7 linked regions of the Nothobranchius furzeri genome follow. The protein of the gene in region 5 interacts with the protein of the main gene of each other region in a biochemical or structural test. Links are inferred from orthologs where the notes say so. Each region holds a gene or a part of one and is shown on either strand. Other genes may lie near its edges. The genes, in order: uba1, trim23, prkn, E3 ubiquitin-protein ligase RNF14, ubiquitin-conjugating enzyme E2 E1, ubiquitin-protein ligase E3A and nedd4l.

Region 1 (4,610 bases), on a different chromosome or scaffold from region 5:
TTTTTTTAAATCTTTGAGTACACTAGGGCTGTCGCGGTAACCGCAAAAATGAAATATTGCAATATGAAGAAGCCCACCGCGCTGCATCATGGGCCACCGCGATTACTGAACTTGGTTCAACTCAATGATGCATGTTGAGAAGGATGGCTGCACTGGTATCAAAACGAAACGTTACTTCACTCCTTTGGGAGCACTTTGGTTTTCAGTACGTCAGCTGCTGCGCAGCCAGAGTCCTTGGCCGAGACAGAGCTGCCTCCAGCGGCAATAAATAAATAAATAAACGCTCGGAGACCTCCTGAAGTCCCGGAAGCACTGCTTCTGCAACCGTCCCGAAGAGAGTTTGAGCCGAGCTGGAGCTCACTCGCTACCTGCAGGAGGAATGCATTCACCCTAAAGAAACCCCCCTGACATGGTGGAGCAACAACCGGGAGAGATTCCCTTTGCTCGCCAGAGTCGCACGCAAGTACGTGTGTGTTAGTGCAACGAGCGCACCATCCGAGAGGGTTTTCAGTGTTGCTGGAAATGTTGCCACCCCTCTCAGATCCTCTCTCAAACCGTATATGGTTAACATGCTGGTTTTCCTTGTGGGTAACAAGGACGTGACCGAGCTATAAATCACCATCATTCGTGTGTGTGAAAGTGAAATGATAGTGTGCCCGCGCCCGGTACATGTAATTTTTTATGCTTGATTTTAAACAACTAAACAAAATGGGGACTTGTTTCTTATTTGTTAGATGCTGCAGCCAAATTTGCATTTAAAAGTTTAACCTTCTCCTGAATTTTGTTGTTTTTAAGTTCAGTCGGACTCCGACTGTCGGAGAAACAAACGTTACTGCGATCTGTGTTGTTACTGCCCTTTGATCTGCATTCGGTAAAGTGTTATTAAAGAAGGCACGGCAATTTTTAACCTTTTTTAAATGTGTAAACATTATGTTTAGATAGTACTGCAATAAAAAAAAGTACTGCAATAAAAAAGGGCTGCAATAATATCGCACACCGCAATATTAAGCAACCCTGAATCACCGCAGGGGGAATTCCTCAACTGCGACAGCCCTAGAGTACACCTCAGTAAGAGCTCTCTCTATATTCCAGTATTCCACGAAGTCCTTTAATTAAGTCTTAACTGATAAGCTGCACATATGTACATTAGTTTAAATGCTAACACAAGAGCTTTTCAGTAGGCTACTATTGTTTTTCTAAAGACAATACAATCCTACTTGATTCATTCTAAATGTAAAGAACACCCAGGTAGAGACAGCTCAGTACACATAAACGAGATATTATTTGTCTAAACATACACATCTGAAATGCTGATTGTGGATCAAGTGAAACTAACGTCAACTTTTCCATAGCTAGGGTAAATGAATGTTAAAAGTTTAACTATTATATGACACATTGACTTGCCACAAAATGCTCTGTTACACTTATTTGATTGGCTCTTTCTACATTCGCCCGCCCCTGCTACTAGAGGATGCATGCGTGCCTTGTATAACACTGTACAATGAACTACAGAAGCTCTAACAATTGTAAAAACTAGTTCATAATTCTAGAAACGAAACACTATAGAATATCTAACGCAGTTGAAGACAAAAGTACAATAAAACATATCCAAGGCAGCGCAAAAGACTGGATCAAAATCCAGCAAAATCTCATCTTTGTTTCTGTGACACTACATTGTAATGTCATCGTACTTAAGAAGCAGGCCTGCACAGAGCTAACACTTTGTATGCCAAAATATTATGAAAATGTAAATAAATCATTTAAAAATACAACTTCTATGAAAACACGTCCGCGTGGACATTTGTGAGCAAGAATAGACCATATATCTTACTGAAGAGTTGAATAATTATTACCAACTCTGACAGTGCTGCAGCCATGAATGAAACGGACACAACATTAGGTGCGCTGGTTGAAAGCTGAAGTGATGCTGAGCGTCAGGGCACTTTGGCTGAGGGTATGGGTGAGCATTCCTTGCAGATGAGTATTGGGGGAGGGGGTGCCCAGCAAATGACAAAGGCCCAGAAAAAGACTGGGCCGCATAATCTCGGGTACACGTGTCGCGGGGATCCCCAATTTCCATGTTCCGGTTACAAAATCATGGGGTAAAACAAAATCCCACCATTCTGATGCACCCAGCACAATTAGGTCAGGATTAACGGCTGCCTAACCTGACACGCTGAATTGACCACTAATGATGATTACCACCGAGATTCGTGCCATCGCAACGTAATCTCAAAAAACCCCATGAAATAACGTGTTCTGAGGACAAGTTAGCCAGAGTATGTCTCTCAAAATAGAATGCATCCAGTGTTGGCAGAAACTATAGCTGTGCGGCTACAATGTGTCACATAATATTGTGTGTCTCGTGCACATGAAACGTGTAACTGCTAATTTTACGTTAACAGTAACGTGACAGTTACTTGATAGCAACGGACAACTGCGCTGGTTGATGAAAAGATTCAATTCGCAAATGGTAATTGACGTTAACATCTATCAATAACACAGATCAAAAGACTGCGTAGTTGTTAGCTTGTGTACAGTTAGCTCTCAGGCTATCCAAGCACCCAACGACTTTTCCCCTTCTTGTGCCGCTATGTTAGCAACCCAGCTAACATTAGCTAACTAGCTGTGGCTAACATGATCGAGGCGAGAGCTTACACAAGTGTGCAGAACTTACCACATCCGATATTACTCGGCCTGATTTGTAATGTTAAAATCTGTCTAAGCGAGAAACCAAACAAACAATATGACAAATCAACACAGCCGCTGACGGCAAACTGAAAAGTATATCAGGCTGGCGGGCTCTGAGTGAGCTTTTTTCCACTGGACGTCTCTCTGCCCGGCTGCTCCGAGACCGCTTCACCTCATTCTATTTCAGTTGAAAGCAAAGCAAAGCAGCAACATGTGCACGTTACAGGCAGATCCAATACTCGTATCCAGAGGGTTCGCCCAAAGAAAGTATATTAGCTCATCCGTCGAATTGTGTTCAATGTTCCATACAAACAAGAGCACAAATATTTCATTTACACAGCTAATATATTTATTCAGGCGTAAAGTGTTTGATTCAAAACTGTTTCGGCATAATCGCCTATTCACAGGAATGGACTAATCGAAACCAGACAGACGCAAAGCTTCATGGGACATGTAGTAAGATTGGTGAAAATGAATGTAGATAAGAAATTCAGATGTTGCCAGTGGTTAGCTGCTAAATAAATAAATAAATAAACAAATAAATAAATAAACTAGCTTAATTTAATTACTTTATTTGAAAGTCTTGCAAACAGAGCACAGTTTACACAGGGGATGATTTCTAGTCCGGAATAGCATGCACATCAGAAAGCGTCGTCGAACAAAGAGGGACTTTTAAAACAAAATTTAAAAGGAGCAAATAAAAATTTCTTTTTAAAATGACATTACCAAAGTGTATACATAGACAAAACTAGAGAAAAGTGAAAACTAAGTTTGCAAGCTTTTTATTTTTTCTAAAACTTTAAAACCAAACACGTGCCTGTGTGATTGCAAAACCTTTATATGCAATCTTGCATCTAAAAATGCTTCACACAGCTTTCTAACAAGATAGGATCTCCCAAAACTCAGTTTCATCAACCTGATGTACATAATGTGGCAACTTTCTATCAGGTAGTGTATCGTTTGATCAGCTGCGTTTTGGGTACTTTGAGACAACTGTGTGACTAAGCCCTACAGGAAAATGACGAGCTACGTAACAAAAGGAAATGAAAAACATGGATATGGGATAAGCTGCTTAAAATGATAATTTCAACAAGAAGAGGTTAACATCTTGGAAACAAGGTAATCATAAGGAAACTAACTTTTTATACGTATTTACAGTTTATAGGATTTGATCAGGTGTTATCGCTTGCAGTTGCTTGTTAATTTGATTCACACTCTTCTTACTTTTGTAGATTGATATAATACAATGTCTTCATGTTTGAATGGGGCTGTGATGATTGTGTGCCTCAGGCTGATACTGAGGCACACAATCTGGATTTAAGAAGTGAAAACATTTGGAGTTCTCGTTTTTTGCCGTTGACAGGCGGGGAGATATTATACCCTAACCTTCATTTGGGAGGCTACCAAAACAGTAATTTGATCTGCATTTACAACCATAATAACATTGTTTAGATACTTTTGGTTATCAAGTACGTTCCATTTCTCAGTGAGAGGGAATCCTTTAACACTCCCAAATAAATAATAAATCCATTTTTAGGTGCTTTGTAATTGTGTATAACATCATGCACATTATCTTTAAAGCCCCCAGTTCATGCCAGCTTTTGGTGATTGGCTTGGATGAGCAGCAGCTCTCTGTCCATCCTTGCCCTCACCCCAGTCTGCCCCTGACAGACTGGGGTGAGGCCTGTGTGGGTGGAGATGGTGGTGGATAAGACGGAGGAGGGATGGCAAGGTGAGGGAGAGATGGGAGCGCAGGTCTTGGAGAAGTGGGAAGCGGTGGAGGGGTGGTCGAGGCTGAGGAATGTTGAGTTGGACGTGCACGGACGGTGGCAGGAGAGGCGTGCGTGCTCCTAGAACGTGCTGGTTCAGTAGGACAGTCACTTATTTGCTCGAGCAGTGAAGGCATGTCTCCCTCAATC
Region 2 (4,706 bases), on a different chromosome or scaffold from region 5:
ACACACACACACACACACACACACACACACACACACACACACACACACACACACACACACACACACACACACACACAAATCTTTTGAGACTTTTTTCTCCCCATACCTACTGACCTGGTATGAGGAGTGCACCCACTTTTCATCACAGAGTTGGCGGAGAAAACCAACTACAGTGAGGGGAGCTGTGCTAACCCTGGCTGTTCCGAGCCGCTTTTGGCTGAGTAGCAATGTTGGGAAAAGGGTTAAACTCCCTTTGTCCTTCACTCTGTGAGCAGGAAGGTGAAACACTCCAGAGCATCCAATGCTTCCTCCCCCAGCCAATCAGTGACTGGCAGTCCTCTGACGTTGCGTTTTTCGTCCCAGTTTGGTACACTTGGAACCACTTTGAAGCAGACAAATAAAGGAGCAGCGACCTGGTACCCGTTACTAGTGAAACTGGGCTGAATCGAGTGGAGCTCTGCTTAGAAGGTACTGAAGGAAAAATCTACAAGTGCAACAGAGAACATTTACACCTTTGTCCAGATTCAATTCAACCACCTTCAGAGTTTTCAAGATTTTCCAGCACCGTACAGTCATGATTTCCACACACATGGAGAGACGCTAAATGGACAAAATTATTGTCTTGCTGAATTTCATTATTGGTCTAAAACTCATGCACGTCAATTGGATATTTTTAGCGATGTCCCAATACGACTTTTTCACTTCCGATACGATATCGATGTTGCAGCCTTCAGTGTTGACCGTTACAGATATCAATCTGATACGATATCAGCACAAATCATACTTTTACCCGTTTCCTAATGTGGAATGTATGAAAGGCTTGATCAACTGATATTACTCAACTGGAGAACAACAGCCAATAACAATAAGTATGAAAAATTTCTTTTGTAACCATTGGTTGCTGTAGCTGCCCCTGGCACCATGAAGAAAAGAACGGAGAGCCTCGACGGGTGCATAAACTTTTATTCGTTTCTCTGGTCCAATGCCTTGGACTTCACTCCATGAGTTGCACTGTGAAAACTGTTTAGAGATATACAAAGCATAAATAAAAGGTGAACACAACTTCGATGTCATAACAGAAATGAATTATATTCTCACATTTACCTTGCTCCACTGGCCAAGGATGCTAAACAAACCAATAAGTCCTTAAAGCTGCTTTATCTGTAGATTTGAGTGGGGATGGACAAGAATAACAAACAATGACTATAGAGTGTCGAAGTAATAACCCAAACAAAAGCGTCAATACAGCAAAACTTACGTGGGGATGCAGTCGGCACTGTGCAGCTGAGGTGAATTTAGACCAAAGACATAATTTCAACACTTCAAAAGTGTTATCTTCTCTACAAACAACTTAACCCAAGCCATTTTCTCTGGAAGGGTGTGGCTTATATAAAATCTGTGAGCCAATTAAGAGTCATTGCCATCAGCTGCTCATCTGGCAGCTACAGTTGCAAAAATGTGAACCTTAACGAACCGCTTTTATAGGAGACTTTTGATGCCATCCGATATAATCCGATACAGTGTTTTTGGGCTGATATGGAATGACCTCCGATATCGGAATGGGACATCCCTATGTTTTACTTTGTGAAGTGCACCAAGACGACTTGTCGTTATTTGACGCTTTATAAATAAACTGAATTGAGTTTCACTTTCCAGTGTCAGCACCAATGCATGACTTTAAATAACGGAGATGTTGATGTAAACAAATACTGCAAGACTACACAAAGTTTTAGGACAAAGTCAAATCAAACCTACTACGAAGGAAGGTCTGGATCTGAAATGTGTTCATGTTTTATTTCCCTACATTAGACTGTTTTCGATTGTGAGCTCTTTTCTCTGCAGCCTAACAGCATATTTGCATCTGCCGTCCAAGAACCAGTAAAGTACACCCTGCATCTTATGATGACTGTGTATTCTCTGTGCTTTGCCACTCCAAGATAATTTCAGTCAGGAATACCACTTGGATGTTATGTTACTTCTGAGATGAATAGTTGTTTGTTTTTAGTGATTGAAGAAATATTTTTGTCATTTTCCCAGGCATCCTCAGAATTTGTTCAGTTCAATAAAATTCTACCAAATGTTGCAAATCTGCATCCTTCTTCGAAGGCCAAATTATGTTATGTCCTTCACTCACCCAGCTCGGTGACCTGTCGGTCAAAGGGGCAGCGGACCGCTCTGCCGTGGAGGGGCAACCGGGTGAGACAGTCGTGGCACACGGTGTGGCCACAGAGCAGAAGACGGGGGACCTTGTCACCTTGGAGGGAGAAGACGTCCTCACACACACCACACTCCAGCACCTGCAAGTGACAGCACAGCTTGAACACTGCCTGTCTATGTGTCTGTCTGTCTGTATCTGCTGCAAGGTGACTTCCACACTCAGGATCACGCACACTTGTAAGGAATTTTAATTTGTAACTTTAGGTTTGACTTGATGCAGAAAAGCAGAGGTACTTGAAAAATAGTGATGAGATAAAAAAATCCCAGGGTGTTGCAGTCACTTTGACATAGTGACTCCCAAGGTAAACATCACGAGACGCTTTGCCCACATTTTATTCTGTAAACTAAAATTAATTCTTCCAACAGCTGCTACTGTACACCCTTATAATGCACTGACTAGCTGATTGCTTGTTTTTGTTTATAAGGCTGCAGCGATCAGAAACTTGTGCTAATGCCAACCGGCGGTTTTCGAGCTGGTGCTAGCTCGCAGCAAACGCTTCTTAATGACAAACGAGTCTTCTGGAATGCATAAACGGCTACAATAACATGATGAAACGCGTTTGCACAGCTATTACACTGTCAAAATCCGTATTTGGCACCCACTGCGACCAACGCCAACGCAGCAGCCTTAGCTTCCAACTAGAAATACATCAAGCAAGTCTGAACCAGCGGACATTTATCACCAAAGCTAACCAAATAATATGTTCACAGCAATAACGACCTAGCTGCGGAAATTTGTGACATGTTTACGACCTTCACGGTGCTTCCACTGGCTCCCCTCCCGTGCCGGAGACAGGTCTCCATCGTCGCTCCTGCGCCCTGCTTGTTTATTCCTGCTGCAGCGGCGGCCATTCTTCGACGACGGCGAGCGAGAGAACTGAGCATGCGTGAGAGGATAATCCCTCAACAACTTCCGCGGTGTCAATTTTGGTATACTTTTTGTAGTAATTTTGTAACCCACGTTCACTAAATAAATCGCATAGTGATAAACAACCGATAAATGACCCGCATTTGTATAGCGCCTTTCAGAGTCAGAGGACTCTGTAATTTCATTCTTTTAATTGTCTTTACTTTTTACCCTTTAAACCATATAAGTCCGTGGTTGAAACGACCACCAAGCAGCTTCAGCTTTTTTTATTTGTTATATAAATCTAATGCTTTGCTTAACTGGCTCAACTTTAATGTTTATTTACTCGTTCAATACATTTATCGAGAACAAACCACAGGCTTCTAACTACATGTCCCATCATGCTGCGTGAACGTTCCGTGATGATGACGCATTTTCTACGCGCCGTGTTTACAGAGAGGAGTTGTGGATATAAGCGGGATTCTACACGCTAAAAGCTGCGGCTTTAACGGTATAAACACATGTTTGATTAAAAACGTATTTTTTGTTGTTTATAACCTGTTTTTATGTTTACTTACCTTTCAGTGAGCGGTTGAATTTCGCCATATGTTTATTCTGCGCGGCTAACGTTTTATGTTCGCGCATAAATGCCATTTTCTCACCACTCAGGTGGACTTGATATGTCTCAGCCAACACAGCAGACGGGGCCATCTGCTCCTGACTTCCCTGCTCTGGTGGTCACAGCAAACGTGCAGAAATATGCCATAAAGAAGAAGAAAATCCTGAGTGCTGAAGAAAGTGAGCTGTTTGAACTGACTCAGGCTGCAGGCATCACTGTGGATCAAGAAGTCTTTAAGTGAGTGAACCGAGACCGGTAGAAATGTGGTTCTTCACGCGGCGAATGAGTAAAGGATTCGTTTCTGCCCTCCTGTAGGATCATAGTGGACCTCCTGAAAATGAACGTGGCTCCCCAAGCGGTCTTCCAGACCCTGAAGGCAATGTGTGCAGGACAGAAAGTAGCCGACAGCTGCATAGAGGCTTCAGTTGTCTCCCACACAACAAACACCACCCCAGCACCCACCGAGGTCAAAGGTCAGTGTGTAAAAACTGGGCTTTAGTTTTGAACTTCAAGTGTTACTCCAGCATGGAGGGATTCTCTTGCTGATGCAGTTAAAAATCGCACTTGTACTGTGCTTTTCTAAGTCAGGGACTCCAAAAGTGCGTTACACTGCAGTCAATAATTCACCCATTCACACTGATGATGACCCACCAGTTACCGGGTGAACTAACCCCTGAGCCACCATCAATTTATATTGGGTGAAATGGTTTTGTGATCAGTAGTTTCTAGTGTACCCATTTCAACTTGATAAAATAGTTACAGTAATAAAATATTTATTTTTGTCACTGCTGATCGGTTCACTTGTCAAAACAGAAGATACGCAATAAATAACTAGTCAGCAACAAGAAGCAGATATGGGCGGCCATGACGGAATGGGGGTAGATCAAAAGGTGAGCCGTTCGATCTCAGCCCACTAAGCCTCAGGTACGGGTCAAATGCAGAGAATGTCCAACAGAAAGATAAAAAAGTATAAATTATTATTATTATTTTCATCATATGAGTCACCCGACCATCACTAATGCC
Region 3 (3,926 bases), on a different chromosome or scaffold from region 5:
TGCTGCTTTTAACTTTTAGCTTGACTTTTATCATTCTCGTACAGTGACCTTGAGTTCCCTGAAAGGCGCTTTAAATAAAATGTATTATTATCATTATTACTATTATTGTCATTAAAACCCTAATGTACTCATCAGCCTTTGAATGAATTGTTTCTTATGCTGCATCGTCTCCACTGTAATCTGGGATGTAATTGTTCAACCTTTATTCTGCCTTTTCCTTTTAGCTCTAAATTATAATTTTATCTGTGTATATTTTAATTTGTGTTCTCCTGTTTATGTCGTCGTGCCATTTCATGCTAATTATAAAGCACATTTAATTGCCCTGTGTTTGAAATGTGCTCTACAAATACAGCTGCCTTGCTTTGCCTTGTCTTGCCTTTACAATAATGAATGATTCAAAAATAACAGTTTGATCTTGAAATGCCTTATTTCAGATCTTAAATACACCAAATGAGTCTACTTGATGATTTAATAATGATTTCGTAATTAGACTCATTTGGTGTATTTAAGATCTGAAATAAAGCATTTCAAGAATAAACATTCATGCTGATTCATTCATTACTGTAAAGCAGTCGAGACATTATTAAATCACTTTAGATAAAACATTCATTGTAGATGAAATGGAATATAATATATAATATAATCAACCCGTAAAGTGAAGTAAATAATTTTATGAGACTGAGTAAGATTCTTTATTAAAGTTATAAAAGAGTCTCGTCTTGTGCCTGCAGATACTGAAACAGGTTGTCATGGCTTCGACCTCTTGGTGGCAAGGTCACAAACAATGTTTTCTGGTTTGGAGACCAAACAGTTAACCTGTGGCACACTGATGTAGCAGGCTGTGGACATTGTCTTAACCTTTGTATTCCAACTTTCTCCAACTCTACAGAGGATTATTACCAGTACTACATGTGTAGCATAGTTAGTATTACCAATACTACATGTGCAGTTTACCAGAGGATTACCAGTACTGCACTTGTAGTACAGATGAGTATTACCAGCACTACATGTGTAGTACAGAGATGTGTTATCAGTGGTGGTGGTGTTACTCTCCTGTCCTCTTTTTTTCAGGGTCCATCCTGCTGGGACGATGTCCTTCTTCCAGGAAGAATCCATGGCCTCTGTCAGGCCGACGGTTGTCATGGTAACACAGCGGTAAGGGGTGGAGCTTAATCAATGTTTAATTGAGAACTGACTGAACCTTACTCTCACTGGGAAATTGGGTTCAGGAATTCTACATGAAATGTGCGTCTCACCCAACATCAGAGGATGACACGTCTGTGACCCTTGACCTCATTATGATGAATATCAGAAACGTCCCATGCATCGCCTGTACCGACATAACGTAAAACACACACACACACACACACACACACACACACACACACACACACACACACACACACACACACACACACACACACACACACCAAACAAACTTTCCATTCCTGGCACTTTGCTACCAGGACTGTAGTTACTTCTGCTACTCCCCTACAATAACCCCCACCCCCCACCCCAACACACGTTTGAAACATTCAGGCACACACACCCTGCAGGCATGATTCTCGTCCCTGCATGGTTAAAGTTCACGTTAATGCACATGGAAATGAAGATTAACTAGAGGTAGAGGAGCAATGAATGTGTTTGACCTTCTATCATCGGGGCAACATGCCAGTGCCCAGTGTTTGGCAGCATTACGTCACGCTGCGAGAAGGGGGGAGGTTAGGAGCCAAGATGCAGAACCAGGGAGACACGAGGCAGGAGGTGGAATAAACATAAAAAAAAAACCTTTATTAGGAGTGATTGTCCCAAAGTGAATCCAATAGTGCAAGAAGCCGAAACCAAAAATCCAAAAATCTTAGTATGAAAGCCAAGAGACCTAGAGACAAAGTGACCCCTTAAAGAGCAGACCTGGAGATATCCAAAAACCAAGAGATTGCCAAAAATCCTAGAGACCGGGGGGGGGGGGGGGGGGGGGGGGGCAAGACGACGCTGACACAAACAATGGACCGACAAACACAGAAAGACAGGACAGGGTTTTATACTCAGGGGCTGGGTGATTAGGAGGATTGGGTACAGGTGATATTAATAAACAAGAGGAGGAGCAGAATAGGGCAGGTGAGGAAAGCCCCAACTAAGGCCCTGTCCACACGTAGCCGGGGATCTGCCAAAATGTAGATATTTTCCTACGTTTTGGCCTGTCATCCACACGAAAACGGATCTTTTTAAAAACTCCGGCCAAAGTGAAGATCTGCGTTTTCTCCGTTTTGGGTGTCGGCGTGTGAACAGACAAAACCGGAGTTTTAAGGTCCGCAACGTCACTTTCCGCAACAAAAAAATGCTGACATCACGTGTGCGACCTGTGTTTACACTAGCCGACAGCATGGATGCCCTCAGAGCTGCGCTCGCTTTATCAATTGTCCAAGCGCTTTCTGCTTGTTTGTTTTTGCAAGCGGAATTACTGCTCCTTGCGGAAGACCACAGACGAAGGACGAGGTTAAGAACGGGGGAAGTACTGCCACCTACAGGTCTGGCATGTCCCTAACAACGTATTTATCTGGGTACGTGTGGACAGTTTTTTTAAACGAGGTGGTGTGGATGCACGTTTTGGAGGGGTGGATATTCGTTTTCAAAAAAACCCCGGCTACGTGTGGACTAGGTCTTAAACCTGTTAAACAAAGCTACTGAACTAAATAACTTAACACTGTAGAAATAAGACACTGGAGAACTAAAGATAATAAAATTAATGACCTAGGAGTAATAGAACCAAAAACACTGGAAGACAGGGGAGGATGATGCCTAAAGGGAGAAACGAACTAGACAATCTACAATAACAGAAAACTAATGATAAGAAAAGTGACTAAGGGAAACATGAGGGAAACCTGGAGAGAACCTGGAGGGGGCTGGGGACCACAGGGAGGCACCTGAGGGGGGATGCAGACAAGGAGACACACGAGGAACACAAGGAGACACATAAGGGGAACCTAGAGAGGGATGGAGAATGCAAGGAGACACTTGAGGGAGACGCAGAATGCAGACCATGACACATTAATGCGTTAGCGTAGCACCACACAGAGCACATATTAGACTCAACCCATACTTATATTTCATCAGATCTTGCCTTTCTTAATATTATGGTAAACCTATTTGGATTAACATGGAATAAACACCCTGTCATTATAAATGAATGCAGAACGCCTGAGAAAGGGTGCGTCTGAAGCATGTGGGGCTCTAACCACCACCATGTCCCTGGTGTTGTCTCAGGGAGGTGGTCCTGGTCTTCCAGTGTGCAGCGCGCCATGTGATCTGTCTGGACTGTTTCTGCCGCTACTGTCAGACTCGCCTGAATGAGCGACAGTTTGTGTATCACTCTGTGATTGGGTATTCTCTTCCATGTGCAGGTGAGGGAATGGAGACTCGGGTGACGATGTGAACAGGTATGAATGGGACCGTAACGGTATGATCTTTGTGTTTCCAGCTGGCTGTGAGGACTCTCTGGTAAAAGAGTTGCATCATTTCAGGATTCTGGGAGATGAACAGGTGACGTACCGTCACACAGGATGTGGGTGCTTGGTTCAGACACTGTGTAGCATGATGTGTCCATGTAAACTACACACTTAGAAGGAATGGGTTTTATATAGCACTTCTTTCTGAAAGAGCCCCATAGTACTTCACAACAGCAATCGTACAGACACCACAGAGAACGGCAACCATAAAATACATATAAACAAAGGCCTATAAAGCATCAAGCAAAGCACCACAGAATTAAAAATCATTAAAAGCCTTCCATGAAGTCAGTAGAGACGCATTCATGCTGTGAGCAGCAGGTTTGAACACTCACCTGTGTGCTTGTTTCAGTATGGGCGGTACCAGCAATATGGGGCGGAAGAGTGTCTGCTGACCCTTGGAGGCCTGTTATGTCCCTC
Region 4 (4,595 bases), on a different chromosome or scaffold from region 5:
ATTGTTATAATTAATCAAACATAAAAAAACTACACTTGTTGGAAAAACTAACAACAGTGTGTGAATCTCCAGTACTTACTCAGTGTTTGCAATGATTACTCAGCAGAGTTGATGCTGCTTTAGTTATCAGCCTTGTGATGAATAGCAGTAAAGTTTGCACCACTGCTAAGACATTTCTCCAAACAATTAGCGTAAAGTACAAAACACGGTAGATAACCTGCAAAAGCAAGTCAGTCGCTCAAAATGGGCTCATTCTTCAAAAGCGAGTTCCTTCATCAAAATGGATCATTTGTTCTTCAAAGCAAGTATTTATGTCAATGACAGTGTCGGTGTCGTCACAATGAAAAGTTATGACAGCAGCATCTTTGAACTATCAAGTCAAACGGTTTGAACACGTTTTCATTGTGACATGACTCTGGAAGTGCTCCCCAAAGTCATGTAGAGTCAAATCAGCGTTGTATAGGATGCATGGCATTTAGAAAACTAGAATTAAATCAAAATCAGCACAATGAATATGCACTTTATACTGTACATTTGCTACTGTTCACAGCATTTGGAAAAACAACATTTACAACAAATATAAACTCCCTTTGGCTCAGTAAACCTTACTGCAGTAGTTTTGAATCTAAAAATCCTGTAAAACAGATGGTGCTGCAAATCAGACATGGACAACTAGACGCTCCCGTTAGTCTGGCCACATATTTTCATCTACATCACAGCAAATATCAGCTCTGTCAACGCACAGAGGGAAGTATCTTCCTGAATCCACGCTCTGCATGACTCTGCTGTGATGTCATCACAAGCTGCATCCATGGCTGGTGTCACCTGGGTATGTGGACGCTGATCATACACCTTCCACCTCCAGGAAGAGAAAAACTCCTCAGTTGGATTTAGGAACTGAGAGTAGGGGGAAGATAATAAATATGATAACAATTCTGCTCCATTTTAGACAAGATCACACTGATGTTGGGTTATTGCTGTCAGTGTGTGAGGCTGAGTTTATGAATGCAGCAGATCAAAGACTGAGCTCTGCCTCCACTTACTGAGCAAGCTGAATCATAGCAACACACACACACACACACACACACACACACACACACACACACACACACACACACACACACACACACACACACACACACACACACACACACACACACACACAAATCAGAGGAGTTTAGATGTGTCCTGACCGGGATTTGAACCCCAATCTCAGTCCCAGGGCGGCCACTCTACCACTTATGAAGCCACCAATATTTTTCAACAAATGGGCATCATTTAATTCATTTTCAACAACATTTCAATGAATGAGATTAATTTTAAAAACTACATATTGTCTCTTTAATAGATAATGATAATCAGAACAGTAACTTTATCTAACTGGCTACTCCCACATATGGGCTTTCTTTCTTTTTTTGTGATTTTTGCTACCACACGAACGTTCCCGTCAGAGAGATGTAGAGAGAAGTTTAGTTTTCCCGCTTTCACTGCAATAATTCGCAGTGGCACAATATCTCCACTGGGGGGCGCTGTCAGTGGATTCGCATACCAATATTCACCGGCAGAGAAGGCGGTGTTTGGATGTGTCTCGGATGTAGCCGGATTGAGTGCCGGGCTGTGTGTAAGGAGTTGACGTCGTGACTCGTCATGACAGGAACCAATCAGGGCAAAAGTCACTTGTGCACTTGGGACAGAAAAGGTAATAAAATGAAATAAATTTTCAACATTTGTTGTACATGTCTTGATGTTGTTTGTGTTATTGTATCTTAATCACACAACAGAAAGAAAAGTTAAAAATGTGTTGCTACCACAGAGCTACTGTTTACATCAGCTAGCTGTTAGCTAGCTACAAATACCGGTGTTCTTTACCCTCGTTAGGCAATCAACCGAGTTTGTTAGCTGCTTCCATCTTTAGACATGTTATGTATTTAATCGATGCTGGTTTATAATCTAGCAACCATGGCGTCTGGCATGGTAAAAGTGGTGGTTTATATTGTGTTGGGTGCTAACTTATAAGCTACAACTTAGCTTAGCATTAGCTAAGTTCCTACAAAGTATAAATATTTGCGCATTTAATTATAAATTAGCTCCATCTGGTTATTTAATTTTGATGTCTTTAGGAAAGTTTTGAAATGTTTAATTCAGTCGACACACAAACGCGTTAGTTTGTGTTTTTCTTCACTAAGTGGTATAGTGTTAGCAGTAGTAGTACTCGTATTTGTTTCTGTTGTAAATTTTAGATGTTGTTGTTGTTCCAGGAATGTAAATGTCTGAGGATAAGGAAGCTCAGGAGGATGAGCTGCTTGCATTAGCAAGTATCTATGATGAGGAGGAGTTCCGCCGTGCGGAGTCTGCACAAGGAGGAGAGATCCAACTCTGTCTGGAGCTTCCTCCTGGTTTTAAAGTTCTTGTAAAAGGTATCGGTGATCAAGATGTGCAACTGGTGCACAGCTTCCCTACAGGCTGTGCATTTAGATTCACTACTCTGCTTTAGCCTCCCTTTTTCTTTGTTGCAGGCGAGAAGACAACTGAACACAATGTGTGTTTCTTACCTCCTTTGGTGCTCAATTTTGAGCTTCCTTCAGATTACCCTTCCACACGTCCACCATCCTTCACTCTCAGCTCTAAATGGATGACCAAATCCCAGGTAAGAGTCGTACTAACTCATCCAGGCCTTTTGTAAATGCCACATCTAGCATCTTCCTCTGGCATCCTCTTCAATTCTTCCTCTGCTCTTTGATTCTTCCAGCTGAGCTCCCTATGCCGACATCTGGATGAGTTGTGGGAGGAAAACCAGGGATCAGAGATTCTTTTCACATGGATCCAGTTTCTCAAAGAGGAGCCCCTAGAATTTCTGGGCATCCAGTCTCCCGTGGAAGTCATCAGGAACAGCAAGGCTGCTGGCGAACGAAGAAAAACTGACCTTGCAAGCAAAGGTATGATGAGGCATTTTACCAAAGCTTGCTAGTAGAAAATGTGGTTTAACACTGCAATTGCTGTTATTGTTTTTCAAATAAATTCTGTATTTTATTATTGTAAGTACTTCTCATGCCCTCTTTTGGCTTTCATTCCTGACAAAATTAGGTTGCATCATAATACTTTCCATCAGAACATCTCTTTTCTTACCCAGGTGTCTCTTCACACCACTGTTAACTTTTCAAATCCTTGAATGCACATTGGAACTTCTCTTTTTGGTCTTTTCTCCTTCAGAGAAACCAGAGGAGAAGAAAACAGAAGTAATAAAGGAGACATCTGAGCAGCACGGTTCACTGTTGTCTCATCCAGACCAGCGAGCTGTCGTGTTGATGGACCCTCATTCCGACCCCCTACGTCAGCTCCTGGACTTTGACGAAACTCAGAGACAACGGGTGTTTGACGGAAAGGTGTTCAGCTGCGGGATCTGCTTCGCGGATAAGCTGGGCTCCACCTGCCTCTGCTTTAAGGAGTGCCTGCACGTTTACTGCAAGGACTGCATGAGAGAATACTTTGAGATTCAAATACGAGAAGGCAATGTTCAGTGCCTTAACTGCCCCGAGCCCAAATGCACGTCAGTCGCTACGCCATCACAGGTCAGGCACTTCTACAGGAATGTGGCTTTTAACAAGTTCAGCTTCAGCCCAACCGTATTGATAATTGTGTTGTTTTCTACTTTATCTGCCCTGATCTCATCTCTCAGGTGAAACAGCTGGTAGACGAGGAGCTGTTTGCCCGCTACGACCGTCTGCTGCTCCAGTCCACTTTGGACCTCATGGCTGATGTGGTCTACTGTCCCCGCCGTTCGTGTGGAACTGCTGTAATGGTGGAACCAGACACAACAATGGGCATTTGCTCAGCTTGCCAGTATGCTTTTTGCACGTTGTGTAAGCTGGGCTATCACGGTGTCTCTCACTGCAAAATCACTGCAGGTAACGGCTCAGACAAACTCTCAGAAGCTCATAAGGAGTAAGGAAACGGTTTCACTTGCTACGTTTTCTTTCTGCCTTGTTCTCCAGATGACCTGCGCAGCCTGAGAGATGAGTACCTGTCAGCCACGCCTGAGGGGAAGAAGTTCATGGAGCAGCGTTTTGGGAAACAGGTGGTGCAGAAAGCGGTGGAGGAATCTTTTAGCCGGGATTGGCTGAAGGAGAACTGTAAATGCTGTCCTAACTGTGGAACAAACATTCAGGTAGACCAGCGCCCCCTAATGGAGAAACTAAAGCTCATATTTAGAAACACCAGGGCTCACCCCAAAATCCCTCTACCTCCGCTCCGCTCCGCCCCCGCCTTCCGCAGCCGCTCGCTTCCGAACTCAATTTTTACTGGTACCCGCTCTACTCCGGTGCGGAGACCTGAGGTGCGCAGACAGGCATGCATGGGATTTTCGAGATCTTGCGATACAGTCCGAGCAATAAACGCGGAAATTAGATCCAAACACCCGTTGTGTGGGAGAAGCATCGAAATGAACTGTTTAATCTGCCCATCATTTGTGTTGAGAGATCAGCAGTGTTTGGATCAACAAAGTGTGACTACTTTGATAGTGGAAACTGTATTTATGGCTTATTTTTGTGCATTTAAAGTTCAACCGCCATTGATAGTTGTTAAAAGTTGTTAAACCT
Region 5 (4,537 bases):
GGAGCACTGCTGTACAGCTCCTCTGGGAGACTAATCTTGTTTAAATTAAATGTACTTGATGTGAAGCTTTGACACACGCCGCGGACGGCCCAGTTTCCCCAGCAGGACCGGAGCTGTTCAGCCTCCCGCAGCCGCGGAAGGCTACTTCCGTTCCGCAGAGGACGACAGGCAGCAGGCAGCCTGACGGTGGCGGAGGTCCAGACACAAAGAGTGGGTAAGTTTCACGAGCGAGATGAATGGTTCCGTTCAAGCGTTTAGTTCGGCATTGTGAAAATCTGCGCTGATTCCCAACATGTTTGCGTTCCCAGCTGATGTTGATGCGCGGCGACAGAAACGAGAAAAAGAAAAACAAAACGCTCGAGGTCGAGTCAGCAGCAGCACGGGGGGAAGGGCTGCGTCTATGTGCTGGAGCGGTCCTCTTTTTCTCATTCTTGCTTCAAACCTTTAATTGTTACATTTATATGTGTCTTAATGCCAAAGGCAGCGGTTCACAACGAGAGCTGACAACACAGCCGTCGTCTAATTTCACGTTATTATTGTTTTATCCACAAAGACTTGAGGCCCGAGTCTTCGTTACCAGTTAAGTTTTTTATGAAGCGGGGAGGACTAATGCTGGATTACTGATAGTGCTCACGAAGAAAGGTGATTTGAAGAAACATATGGCGTGTATATACCATCAGACACGTTTTAATTTATAGCTTACGATACAAAATTACCATATTTAATGTTAACCACGAGCTAGCTAAGGCTAAAGACTGTTAACCGTAGCGGAAAGCGTTACCTAACGAAAAAAAAAACAGAAGGCGAATCGCTGTGAAATCTCGCGAGAATCCTATCTCATGTCTGCAACATGAGATCAAAACAAACAAGCTAGCTAACTGATGTGTAATGTTTTGTGTTTGCACCATGGTTTGCACATGATCACATCCTGGATTTAATTTATTCTTTCGGATGTAAATGTTTTCAATATCTTAATTTTTTCTAATTTTATTCAGACTTATATATATATATATATATATATATATATATATATATATATATATATATATATATATATATATATATATATATATATATATATATATATATTGCTGCTAGGCTATATCAAGGAAAGGTGGTGCATAAATGTTTAGAAAATTAACATTTTCAAATAAATAATTTCCACAAAAACCTTTTAAAAAATAAGACTGTTTTCCCCATTATTAAGCACTTGGTTTGTTCATTTTTATTCCAGCTTGTTTTGTTAATCCTGATAAAAACCAGATGTTTTGTTTTTGTCAACACTACACATTTGAAAATGTGTTCAGAAACATAAACCTCCCAAAAGGAAAATACTATTACCTACCTTTATTCACAAGTGCTCCACATTTTTGGGTTACTTTCACTTTTCAGATTTCCTCCCATTTCTCCTCAGGTTGCGGCTCTTCTCCAATCCTAACCGGTATGTCGGATGAGGATTCCCGTGCCAGCACCAGCTCATCCTCATCACCACCTTCCTCCAGCCAAAACAGACACAAGGATACAGCTTTCAAGAAGAAACGGGAGAACAAAACCAGCATGAGCAAGACCTCCAAGCTGCTTTCCACCAGCGCCAAAAGGTTAAAAGAAATCTGTCATACAGCAATGGGCAGATTATTGTTGCTCATTAGATTCATGTCTGTTTAAAACCCCTTAAGACAACAATGTTGTTTACATATAAATATGTAACTTTTAGTAGCTGCTGATGGCAGGATAAGCTCAGAAACATGAGTAAACGACAGTAGAATTTGTTTTCATGACTTCCCCTTGTGTATTTATTTAACAGTGAAAAAAACACATTGATGGTCAAAGAGGAACTAGTTTAATTTGTGCTTAGGCGGTTGCTTCTATAAGCCAGAGTAGTGTTGTAAACCATGTTTTTAAGGAAGTACCAGTTTCTTCTTCAGTAAAAAAAAAAAAAAAAAAAATCTTCACAGTTTCAGTCTCATTCAACATTCTTTTCTACAAAAACAGTCAAACAGCATTAAGGTGTGTAAGTTAGTTTTCTGATGCCATGTTAACTAGATCATATTTATTTTTAATCACTTTGTTTGATTCTGAGTAATTCCACCTCTGATCCTTCCATCAGTAATTGATTTTTGTAACATTTGCAGAATTCAAAAAGAGCTGGCTGAAATTACCCTGGACCCTCCGCCAAACTGCAGGTGAGTTTACGGTTTTATGGTTCTTTATGTACTCACCAGCACGACAGATCAGAGTTTTGTCCTGATATTGGCTGATCCAAACTTCCTAAATGTTGAAACAGGTAAAATCATTATTATAGGTCAGTTCACAGTTCCAATACCCACACTGCACCCTGTGTCTTCTGTGAAGTGCGCTTAGAGGAAGTGTGCAGTAAGGCTCTGTGTGCTGAATTGGGACAGTGGCCGTTGCATCATCGACCACTGTGCATGCAGGGATGCCGGTTGCTGTTTGTGCTACTTTTTAAAAAAGCTTTATTAACAATTTTTAAACAGTTGACACAATTTACATTCATTGCTGTTCACATTAAATTTTAATCTTAAACATTCAGTAATGATATTTATTCATATAAATATCATTAGTCGTCTTAAAATGAACTTCTTTTGTTTGAAAATACATATTTTCAAATAAGGCACTTGAGCCATTGTTCAGTCTTTTCAAAATGCCTTCACAGCAATGGGTTGTGGGTAATACCCTTTGCCCAAGTCCGCATCAAGTGTGCAAAAGGGGTGTGGTCAATTTCCGCACTTGAGGATTGGTACACCTTGTGCCCCTGGACAGGAATGCGCAATTGAAGGGCACAAGGGTGGAAGTGTGAGTATTGGTATTGAGCCTAACACAACAACACTGGTTGACTCCTGGTTTCACAAGAACATGTGTCTAGAATGAGGAGGCGGGGCCAAGCTGGTGAGGCTGTGTTGGGATATTCCACGTCCTACTGATTGTCCCTCACAGGGGCCAGTATTACCGTGTTTTCACTACAGGAGTTCAGGGACACTTCTGGGAGAGGGAAAATTCTATAGCTCTGTCCTATCAGCTGTTTCTCCAACCAATCAGCAGAACGTAACAACAAGTCCCGTCCAGCGGCACTACCGGGCCTTTTCCTCGTACTTGCTCCAATTCAGGTTCTAGGTTGGTTCCTGAAAAGCTCTCAAAAGTGGCCCTATTGAGTCGGCCTGGTGAACGTAACGAAGGTCCAGCAAAATGACCCAGATGTTCCAAAAAAATGAAATGGGCCTTCTGTGTTGCTTTTTCCTGAGTACCGTGGGAGAGTTGAATCCAGTGAAGAACTGAATTCCAACAGCAGAATAAAGCAGGTTTAGATGGCACCACCTACAGTAAAGGTAACTAATCAGGCTTCCCACTGTTATCAGATCTATTACCATGAAGCTTCGTTGCAATAAACAAAATTATGTGTTGTCTCAGTTTGAGTTACAAATAGTTTCTTTTTCCTGAATGGAAATGTCAAATACCAAAACATTCAGTTTAAATAAGCAGCTGTTCTTCCAAGAGGAACTAAAATATTAAAACAAATGCGTTTTCATCTGAAGATCTGTATTTACAGCTGTAACTGAAAGTTGAACTTATTTAAAAAAAAAAGCTTCCTTCCTGGTACTGAAACCAAATTTATACTTCTCCGTCAGCTCCACCAGGGAGAGAGACGCACGAATGGAGACGTTTTGCCCCCATACTTCTCCGTCTCCTGGGGAGTGTTACAAAGCAATTCCCCACCAGGACAATAGAGGGCGTAGCACTGTTCCGTGTTATCCGGTCCAAGATGGTGTTTATATTGTGTTTTTTGCATTTAAGAATGGCCAAAACACACACACAAATGCCCTGGGGCCTCATTTATCAAGCTTGCTTACGCACAAAACTGGGTTGGAAAACTGTGTAAGCAACTTTCAATGCAAACTTTGGGATTTATGAAAGAGAACGTAGCGGGAAAATGTGCGCAACTTTAAGTTGACTAAGGACCTGGCTTACGCACATTTTGGACATGGAGAGCACCTGCAGTGCTGCTGCTGAGAAGGGTTAAAATTATGAAATCCTGCAGCATTATCACTTGTACCGCTTCATTTTCACACAGAACAAGAACCCCCCCCCCCCCCCCACACACACACACACACACAGAGAGCCTGAAGCGCAGAATACGGAATGCAGAATATCATCGGGGGACAGATTGAGACAGAATGTCATGCGTAGGGCTGGGAAAAACGATTATTTTTGTAATCGATTAATCTAGCGATTATTTTTTCGATGCATCGATTTAATCTAATGATTAATTTGTTAATTTGATTAGATTAAATTATTGATTATTTCCCAATTATTTGACTTGTATAGCAGTTTCATTATTACTAATTTATGTATCTCAATGAAATAAATGCAAATTTCTTCATTTGAACACACAAATTCAAAAATAAAGTTGTTGTAATAGTAGTACAATCTTATGTTAGAGATAACATTTAACAAAAACTTAAATGTTGTGCAAACTATTCATATAAATCAAGGAAAATTTATAACAAAAAATATATAAATA
Region 6 (3,926 bases), on a different chromosome or scaffold from region 5:
CAGGAGCAACCCAGAAGTCATTTCTTGTACCCCTAAGAAGCCACAGCATCTTTTTGTTTTACTCAAATTTCAGGAGAAGCAGGCTAGAGGCTAACAATGCGCTAACAATGCTAATGGTGAATTAGAAGCAGTCTGCTCTAAAACTATCTTAAGCTACCTTTTCAATTACCAACAATTCAATATGACAGTGAAGTGTGTGTGTGTGTGTGTGTGTGTGTGTGTGTGTGTGTGTGTGTGTGTGTGTGTGTGTGTGTGTGTGTGTGTGTGTGTGTGTGTGTGTGTGTGTGTGTGAAGTGAATAAAGAGTCCATCGCAGCATTTTACTTCCTTTAATGAGTCGTTCAGAACCATAACACCAAGCAAACAGACCGCAAAGGCAGAAATGCTCCAAAGTTTAAGATCCAGAGTTTAACCACGGGCAGACTGGCTAATGCTAAGCTAGCGTGTAGCACTCTCACGATTAAGTGGGGTTCAGAAAAAACACGACGGTTGTGAATGACTAAACTCTAAAAGAGGAAGAAAAATCCCCACCAACAATTTGTGGATGTCAGCAGTGGTGTGGGGTTTAACCCCCCAATCCAACCCCTTAATGCTGAGTGTCAAGCAGGGAGGCATTGGGTCCCATTTTTTCAAAGTCTTTGGTATGACCCGACCAGGAATCGAACCCCTGATCTCCCAGACTCAGGGCGGACACTCTACCACTAGGCCACTGAGAAAGGTGATCTTTAAAGGTCAGGTGTTCATCAATCACAACACCCAGATTTCGAACTGCCTTTGAAGGAGCCAGAGATAGGAAGTCATTTTGGATTGAGATACTGTGCTGTATTGATGGTTTTGCTGGGATGACAAGTAGTTCAGTTTTAGAGAGGTTGAGTTGGAGATGGTGGGATTTCATCCATTTTGATATGTCAGAGAGACAGTTTGATATTCGTGCAGAGACAGTGTGGTCGTCCAGTGGAAATGACAGATAGAGCTGGGTGTCGTCTGCATAGCAGTGGTAGGAGAAGCCATGTGATCGAATGATCTCACCCAGTGAGGTGGTGTATATGGCAAAGAGAAGAGGAGCTTATAGCTGCCACTTTGTCAGTGAAGAATGAGGCAAAGGTGTCAGCTGATAGATTGTTGGTAGGAGGTGGAGATGGAGGGCTGAGCAGAGATTTGAATGTTGAATTCTGTGAATGTTTCTGAGAGTCAGTAGAGCTGAGAATTTTGTCAGTGTAGAAAGCTTTCTTTGCATCAGTGATGCTGGCAGAGAATTAGGACAGTAATTCCTGAAATTCCAATAGATCACCAGGATCTTTTGTTTTGCGCCATTTCCGTTCCGCAGCTCTAAGATTGGTGCGTAGAGACCGGAGGGTATCATTTAGCCAAGGGTGCGACTGAGAGGATCTAGCAGGTCTAGTGGCTAAAGGGCACAAGTTATTAAGACAAGAGCAGAGTGTGGAGCAGAGTGACTCGGTGGCTTCATTCACTTCATAAGCAGAGAATGTGCTGGGAGATGGAAGAGTGGAGGCAACAAGAGAGGAGAAGTAGTTGGGTGCCAGATTGCGGAGATTGCGGCGGAATGAGACCATTGGGGAGGAAGCAATGGACCTCCCTTGTAGTCGTGCTGAAATGGATGAAGTAATGGTGTCCCTTCTTATTTTTACATGTTATTTTGGTATTTTTACTATATTTTGACATTTTTATTTGATATGTACAAATATAAAGCTCTTTAGAATATTTATTTACATTGTTTACCTTATTTATTGTAGTTTTTGATATTTATTTTGGTCTCACTCCAGAAAAAGACTTTTTAAGCCATATTTGACAGGTGTATTTAGGCTTGTACAGCTTCAGGAATGCCCTTCCCTTGAATATAACAATCATTTGATCCAAGGGAAAGAATATTTTTATGATTATGTGGCACACTTTGACGTCCATACATAACACATCTGCTGATTTTTACAGCTTTTTTTTACATTGCCGCTACGTCTGTCACATTAACTGTGTTTTTACCATTATTTCTACATCCACCATGCCCCAGAAACGGTGAAACACACTTCAAACCCAATGTTTGGAGTGTGTAAGCTACACACACCTTACTCGTGCAGCACCAGCTGTCTGATGCTGCGCGCTGCAGCAGCATCAATTTTTTCGGCTGGATGAGTGAATTTCTTCTTCAGAGAGTCAAACAACTTTAAGTTTTATCCCTCTAATATTCGCCCTCTTCGTGCTGCGCTCGTCTTCTCCCCGACCGGGAACATCTCGGCGGGAGGCGGTTTTCAAACTCTAAAAACTACGAAATTTTCAATATAAACACACCCTAAGTGTTTCTTAGGCTGAAGTTACACATCTCCACTATCTTCTGGCGTAAAGTAGTAACTTCATGAGGGATCATTTTTGTAGCTGTGGCTCGTTAAAGTCAGTAATGACGCTTGTCGCAATATTGCGACTTTGGTGCTTAAAGGGTTAACATCAGATGGGAAAGAGGGAACTAGACAGCACCTATTTAATACATATTACTGAGCTGTACGATACAGGGGAGATGATACGATATATCACAATACATTCAGTCAGACGTTACAAGCTATTTTTTTTTTACTGAATTTATTGTAAGAATGTTCAATAAACAGTCCAAAGTGATACGTAACGTGTTTAACATGAGGTATCTGAACTATGATGGAGGGATTTACATTTCAATGGTGGAAACAAAACCCGTTGCACACTGCTGCCAACTAGCGGGTGGCGACTGAATTGCACAAAATGAAATGAAAATACACAAATGTTTGCATGTAAATTCTTTCAAGAATTAGGTACACGGCTTTTGAATATCGATGTAATAATCGCAGGAAAAAATATCACGATATATTACCATATCGATATTTCCGATACACGGCTTTTGAATATCGATACAATATTGCTGGAAAAAATATCACGATATATTGCCATATCGATATTTTTTTTACATCCCTACAAATGTGTTATTCTATTTTCATATTTTTAGCAGCATACCATTAGAATACCAAAATATTCAATAGCTGCAGCCCTAGTGGTCACCATCAGTGTGTAGTGTAAAACACTTTGGAGACCCCGACAACTGGCTTCATTATTATTATTATCATCATTAATATTTTATCGCTACTAAGGAGAACATCAGTAGTGAATCTACACAAAGTTTTATAAACGAGGCCCCTGGACTTGACCAAAAACTGTCGTACTTTTAAAATGTTCTCATCCAACTTGTGGAGTTTTCAGCTCACCTGTCTGTGTCAGGACCGTTCTTGGCGATGATCATCTTCAGCTTGCCGAGGCCGCCCACAGGCGCTCTGTCGGTGCCGGTGGTGAACTGCAGGAAGAGGCGCTTCTGCTCCTCACTGAATGAGTGCAACGTCTCCCAGAACTCCCTGTGGGGTCAAAGGTTAATCGTCACAAGCCCACTCCCTACATACATGTGCCAGCTGTTCAGGAACATTCCCATTCTTACTTGATGATTCTAGAATCTTTGTTATAACCGCCGTCGTACTCCGTCGTCTCCTCAAGTGCATAAAAGTCCAGGTTCTGGAAGAGAGCCAGATCTGGACTTTAGAGTCCACAAGTCAACAAGGACAAGTGGTGACCTGAGAGGTCCGGGTCTCACCCTGCTCCCACAGATCAGCAGCTCGATCTCCTCGGGTCTGAACAGGTACTTGAGCGGCGACTCGTTGGTGACCATGTGGAAGCCTCTCCTGAACGCTTTGAACTGTTTCTCCGCACTTTTGTTTAAAACATACTCTGAATACTGTGCAACAAACTCCTGTGAACACACACACGCGCGCGCACACACACACACACCAAATCAAAGTCTATCTGAATATTAGGGCAACACGAAGGCAAAAAAAAACCTGTTCTGTGATTTATTTCTAACCCTGCGATATTGACGTATCGAGTTCTGCTGCATCTGATCAC
Region 7 (4,603 bases), on a different chromosome or scaffold from region 5:
CTCAGATGTCCCTCTCTTTTGCTGAACAACTGGATAAATTAATATTGTAATGGCTAACTGGTGTAGGTCTTTAGAGAAATGAAATCACAATAAACCAAGTCTTAAAACAGCAGCTTTGTAATAGAGGCCGACCGATATGGTTTTTTTAAAGGCCGATAGTGATTTTTAAAGAATTTTCATGCCCATGGCCAATATCTAAAGCTGATTATCATATATACACATATACATATACATACATACATACATACATGTACATATACATACATATATACATATACATACATATATACGTATACATGTATACATATATACGTATACATACATACACATATACGTATACATACATACACATATACGTATACATACACATATACATATATATATACACATATACATATATATATATATATATATATATATATATATACACATATATATATATACACATATACATATATATACATATATCTTTGGTGTGTTCTTGCTGTGTTGAGTTTCAAATTCCATCTTTCAGTTTTTTTTAAAACACGGAAAAGGTTTATTTACCTGCAACGTTTCTTTTGCAGCTGCAAGCATCATCCGGCTGACGCCGTTGGTGGTGTCGCTTCCTTCGTTTATCCGCGGGCAGCAGAGGACGTGCTGCCTATTTTTAAATTGGCTTTTAAAAACTTTTGCGACCGATGGTAGATATAGAAAAACTTGAACATATCGGTCGGCCTCTACTTTGCAATGAATAAAGGTTTTTAACTTTTTCGTTAACAAAACAATTACGATCCAAGCGAGAAGATGTCCAGTTTGTTATTGAGGTGTCAAACCCTGACCCACCTACTTAATGGTCTCTGTGCTGACACAACTGAATTACAATGGCATTCCACTCAGACAGATCAGAGCCGACAGGGACAATCCCCTCACAACAACAGTGATCTGAACCCCGGCCACATGCCACAGGACAAAAATAAAAGCAAACCCCCAACCCCTCCGTGCGCTCCCTGCCTCCACCTAACGTAACCTTCGTGGTTTTTGTTGTTTCAGTAAGATCAAGGTTTTGTTTGGGACATCAAGGCAGGGCTGTAATGACCATATGGCTTTCTGGCGTAGCTGTCTGCAGCAAGTCTGTCTGGCACACACAGGCAAACAAGTGCACACTATTGTTATCCAATGCCCAGGATTTAAGGGGGGGGCAACTCCAGCTCCGGGCGATTAGATGGGGAAGACCTGTCTTTATAGTCTAAATGAGGATATCCTTGTTGCTCTAGCATCACACATCTCTTTGTGTTTCTTATAACAAAAGCAGTATATGTGAAATGCATACAGTAGCAGTTTGTAAACAAAAAAGAGGCTGCTAAAATGACACAATGAATAAACTTAAAGCTCTAGAACAGTTTTGCCCCACAGATTGAGTTTTACATAACAGGGGGGGCAAAATTAAAAGTGAACTAGCCTGATCTGTGCTTAGGCTGTAATTACATCTTAGTTTTAATCACTTGCACAGCAGCTGCAAAATTTACGCATCCATACCAGGCAAGAACACAAGAACGGCCGTCTGCCTACTCTTAAAATCAACAACCACATTTGAAAGAGACTAAAGATAGAAAGGGCCAACTCTTAAAGACCTCTGACTGCAGTTGGGACGTATTATCAAAACTTGGGTGTCACATTTCTGTGGCACAGAACCCAACAAGTGTCGGGGGACAAATTATCCTTTCATCCACATGCCTTTTCCTGTTATTCTTTCATAAATTACTGGGATGATGTGCATAAGGCGTCAAATACCTGTGGTGAAGAAGTGAAAGAAAACCAATGTGAGTGTGATCTGGCACAGCAACTGTGTCTGTGCTTTCACTTCCCAGAATGTGACCGCACTGTTCTTGTACTCCAGAGATCTCTCTGCATGTATCCACAAAGCAAAATACGCAGCAAAAAACTTTACTATACCATTACTTCTTCGAAAAGGGCCAGAGTCTAACAAAACTTTCTCACAATCATTACCTTTGGGTTGAGTGTTGTTAGGTCACTATCAGAATCTCCACCAGGGGTAAAGTAGATCTTGAAATGTTGCTGCCTTCTGGGGGCTTCCCCAGTGATTTTAAAAGTACAACAATTAGAGGCTTTTTTTGAATCCGGCTCCAGACTGGTTTGATTGTCCTGTACAGTCTGGAAGTCTGTGCCATTTTTCTGCTTACTCTCCAATAACAGCCTCTGATGGGAAGAGCTTCGCTGCAGTCTTATTTTTGGATAATGCATCGTACGGACACCACTTGGGCTGCCACGTCCAGAGTCTGTACATTCCTCCTGGGATAAAGGAGATAGCCGTCTTCTCTGGGTATGGTTCTGGTTCTTTTGAAGCTGAAAAACTAGTCTTTGTGTTGCGTTATCACCAAAGCATGGGTCCAGGTTGTTTTGCTGGACAGACCAGCCATCACCACCATAGGGAAGAATCCTAAAACGCTGGATGTCTGAACTATCAGTAGAATAGCTCCGTAAAGAAACGGCACCAACAGTGATACCTGGTTGACCTCCTCTGAGTGTCTTACGTCTGCTGGAACCAATGCTGAAGACTGTGTGTTTCGGGAGGTTTGGCTCTGTCAGACAACATTGCGAGTTTATGGAATCTGAGCTGTAGTATGGAGGCGGCGACTGCTGTGGAAAGTTCACTATAGGTTCAATATAAGCAGGTGCAGGTCCTGGAGAATAACAAGGTGGTGGGACATCATCGGCATGGCCACCAGGCTCCCGATTACTTGATCCATTTGAGCGCTGGAGGGAAATGTGCATGGACGAGCTTTTGGTGGGACGTGGCTCAGCGTAGGCGGCGAGCTGGGGTATGAACATAGAGGAGCTGCGTTTAAGTGAAAGCTCCGAGCACGAACCAGAAATCATTGGCGGGCCGTGTTGCACAGCCAACTCCTGAGAAGGCCTTAATGGAGGTGGGTGCACGCAAAGCTCTCCAAGCACTTCACCTTCTCCCCGCTGCTCCTCTGAGCCCGTCTCCAGAATCTCCGGGGCTGTGTTGCTGCGGCCAGATCCAAAGTACAAACGCAGACGCTGTGCCATTTTTGCCTCCCGTCCCTTCAGCTCCCGTTCACTCTCACTTTCTCTCAGACTGGCTGCTGTTTCTCTCCTCTCCTCGTGTCGCCCACCTCTCCTTTGGCTGGCTCAATGAGTGATTCCCGTTTTTCTTCCACCACTCACCCCCCTCTCTCCCCCTTCTCTTCCCACCCTCTTCAAGTCTTTTCCACAACTTTTCTTCCCACATCAAACCGTACAGAGAAAGAAGTCACACCACAGAAACCTTACAGTAACTGTAAACCGGCTGACAACTTAACACTACATACTTCAAGAGGAGGTGAAGACAAGACAAAAGAAAAAGTTTATAAAAAATATACTCTTGGTAACACCATGTACTAGCAACAGACAGCAGAAATAGCCTAGTCGAGTGACAGCCAGCATTCCTGACGTGACTGGATAAGAGCCTGCCTGCTCCTGGTTACCGAGGTGACAGTGGGTTGCCTGTCAGTCATGTGACTGAAAATGGCCCCACCACCTCTGGTTACAACCCCACGTTGCCCTCAAGTGTCAACCAAATCCCTCATCCCTGAGTCATCTCTTGCTAACTACGGTCCACCCTTTCCTTCATTCTCATCTCTGACGTCTCTCGTTACTCTGCCTACATGTATCTGAAGATCTTTACTAGATTTGAACATTTTTCTTAAACAATGCTCTCTGATGTCATCACCGGGAGGAAAATAGAGAGAGGGTCAGAAAAGCAAAGAAACATGTCCACAAACAAACACACAATCTATAGCCTCTTCTTTCAATGAGGTACAGAAGATAAAAATGGTTTTCCAACCATTGGACAGACTAAATGGCCTTTAGACAAATACACATCAAAAAGTCAACAAGAAAAAATGGTAAGTTACAGCCTTCCTGCAGCCATGGAACTGAAAAGGATTTGTTTGGGAAGTTATTACTAAAAATGGACGCGACTAAAGGCTCCAGCAGAGCAAAGAGCAGACTATCTGACAGATTGCAGCTTTGATAGGGGCAAACAGCACAGTCGTCTCCAGGGAAAGATGCATCTACTCGACACAGAATAGACACACTGCCTCCAAAATCACTGCCAAACACTTAACTGGATGGCTGTTTTATAGGTCACTCTGTTTCCGTGATAAAATTCAGCTGTGATCCCTGTCGGCAACACCAAATGGATTAAGGACTGAAGTAATACTTAAGAACTTGTATGAAATCATCTGGCAAGAGTAGAAAGTACACTAGAAAGAGACATTTTTCCAAACCAAAATACTTTATGATTACACTGCTTGATCGCAACAGGATTCATCAGCATTTACTTTGCCTGAGGGCAGCAGTAGTGGGAGAGCGAGCAAAGAGCAGCCAAAGCCTGTATCATAATTTGACATTTAAGGGTGAAAAGTGGCGGCCACGTTTTAACTTCTGTGACTGGTTGTGGTACAGCCCACAGTGCTTCATCTTGGCCTTAAAACAAGCCGCAACGATCCACTGAAGGTGTATCATATTGAACAGGGGAACAAATGTAAAGAAGGAAAAAGAATGACAGTCGTACAACAAACTGTGGCTTGGCAGG

Evidence for each region.
Region 1: of the proteins of ubiquitin-conjugating enzyme E2 E1 (region 5) and uba1, one has a biochemical effect on the other in vitro, tested with the Homo sapiens proteins (9 studies listed by BioGRID, with this or other methods). The link is inferred for Nothobranchius furzeri from reciprocal best matches to the Homo sapiens genes UBE2E1 and UBA1.
Region 2: the proteins of ubiquitin-conjugating enzyme E2 E1 (region 5) and trim23 form a complex in vitro, tested with the Homo sapiens proteins (4 studies listed by BioGRID, with this or other methods). The link is inferred for Nothobranchius furzeri from reciprocal best matches to the Homo sapiens genes UBE2E1 and TRIM23.
Region 3: the proteins of ubiquitin-conjugating enzyme E2 E1 (region 5) and prkn form a complex in vitro, tested with the Homo sapiens proteins (2 studies listed by BioGRID). The link is inferred for Nothobranchius furzeri from reciprocal best matches to the Homo sapiens genes UBE2E1 and PRKN.
Region 4: the proteins of ubiquitin-conjugating enzyme E2 E1 (region 5) and E3 ubiquitin-protein ligase RNF14 form a complex in vitro, tested with the Homo sapiens proteins (3 studies listed by BioGRID, with this or other methods). The link is inferred for Nothobranchius furzeri from reciprocal best matches to the Homo sapiens genes UBE2E1 and RNF14.
Region 6: the proteins of ubiquitin-conjugating enzyme E2 E1 (region 5) and ubiquitin-protein ligase E3A form a complex in vitro, tested with the Homo sapiens proteins (2 studies listed by BioGRID). The link is inferred for Nothobranchius furzeri from reciprocal best matches to the Homo sapiens genes UBE2E1 and UBE3A.
Region 7: the proteins of ubiquitin-conjugating enzyme E2 E1 (region 5) and nedd4l form a complex in vitro, tested with the Homo sapiens proteins (2 studies listed by BioGRID). The link is inferred for Nothobranchius furzeri from reciprocal best matches to the Homo sapiens genes UBE2E1 and NEDD4L.

The regions. Positions count from the first base shown.
Region 1 is NC_091755.1:24,230,788-24,235,397, forward strand, and holds the start of uba1 (ubiquitin-like modifier-activating enzyme 1), read right to left. Parts: upstream 2,978-4,610; 5' UTR 2,678-2,977; intron 2,640-2,677; exon of another isoform or gene 1-2,639. Other genes in the region: camkvl (caM kinase-like vesicle-associated, like), read right to left, coding at 4,340-4,610. UniProt on the Homo sapiens protein: Catalyzes the first step in ubiquitin conjugation to mark cellular proteins for degradation through the ubiquitin-proteasome system.
Region 2 is NC_091746.1:63,287,252-63,291,957, forward strand, and holds the start of trim23 (E3 ubiquitin-protein ligase TRIM23), read right to left. Parts: upstream 3,118-4,706; 5' UTR 3,103-3,117; coding exon 2,971-3,102; intron 2,298-2,970; coding exon 2,135-2,297; intron 1-2,134. Other genes in the region: mzt2b (mitotic-spindle organizing protein 2), read left to right, coding at 3,745-3,920, 3,999-4,156.
Region 3 is NC_091752.1:62,532,917-62,536,842, forward strand, and holds part of prkn (E3 ubiquitin-protein ligase parkin), read left to right. Parts: intron 1-1,071; coding exon 1,072-1,155; intron 1,156-1,229; coding exon 1,230-1,345; intron 1,346-3,264; coding exon 3,265-3,401; intron 3,402-3,478; coding exon 3,479-3,540; intron 3,541-3,858; coding exon 3,859-3,926. UniProt on the Homo sapiens protein: Functions within a multiprotein E3 ubiquitin ligase complex, catalyzing the covalent attachment of ubiquitin moieties onto substrate proteins. Substrates include SYT11 and VDAC1.
Region 4 is NC_091750.1:54,469,115-54,473,709, forward strand, and holds the start of E3 ubiquitin-protein ligase RNF14, read left to right. Parts: upstream 1-1,566; 5' UTR 1,567-1,699; intron 1,700-2,258; 5' UTR 2,259-2,266; coding exon 2,267-2,417; intron 2,418-2,516; coding exon 2,517-2,647; intron 2,648-2,749; coding exon 2,750-2,936; intron 2,937-3,210; coding exon 3,211-3,569; intron 3,570-3,676; coding exon 3,677-3,905; intron 3,906-3,992; coding exon 3,993-4,165; intron 4,166-4,595. UniProt on the Homo sapiens protein: E3 ubiquitin-protein ligase that plays a key role in the RNF14-RNF25 translation quality control pathway, a pathway that takes place when a ribosome has stalled during translation, and which promotes ubiquitination and degradation of translation factors on stalled ribosomes.
Region 5 is NC_091745.1:63,675,424-63,679,960, forward strand, and holds the start of ubiquitin-conjugating enzyme E2 E1, read left to right. Parts: upstream 1-1,443; coding exon 1,444-1,598; intron 1,599-2,132; coding exon 2,133-2,183; intron 2,184-4,537. UniProt on the Homo sapiens protein: Accepts ubiquitin from the E1 complex and catalyzes its covalent attachment to other proteins. Catalyzes the covalent attachment of ISG15 to other proteins. Mediates the selective degradation of short-lived and abnormal proteins.
Region 6 is NC_091743.1:81,623,975-81,627,900, reverse strand, and holds part of ubiquitin-protein ligase E3A, read right to left. Parts: intron 3,775-3,926; coding exon 3,619-3,774; intron 3,540-3,618; coding exon 3,466-3,539; intron 3,386-3,465; coding exon 3,242-3,385; intron 1-3,241. UniProt on the Homo sapiens protein: E3 ubiquitin-protein ligase which accepts ubiquitin from an E2 ubiquitin-conjugating enzyme in the form of a thioester and transfers it to its substrates.
Region 7 is NC_091746.1:58,495,163-58,499,765, reverse strand, and holds the start of nedd4l (E3 ubiquitin-protein ligase NEDD4-like), read right to left. Parts: upstream 3,178-4,603; 5' UTR 3,055-3,177; coding exon 1,990-3,054; intron 1-1,989. UniProt on the Homo sapiens protein: E3 ubiquitin-protein ligase that mediates the polyubiquitination of lysine and cysteine residues on target proteins and is thereby implicated in the regulation of various signaling pathways including autophagy, innate immunity or DNA repair.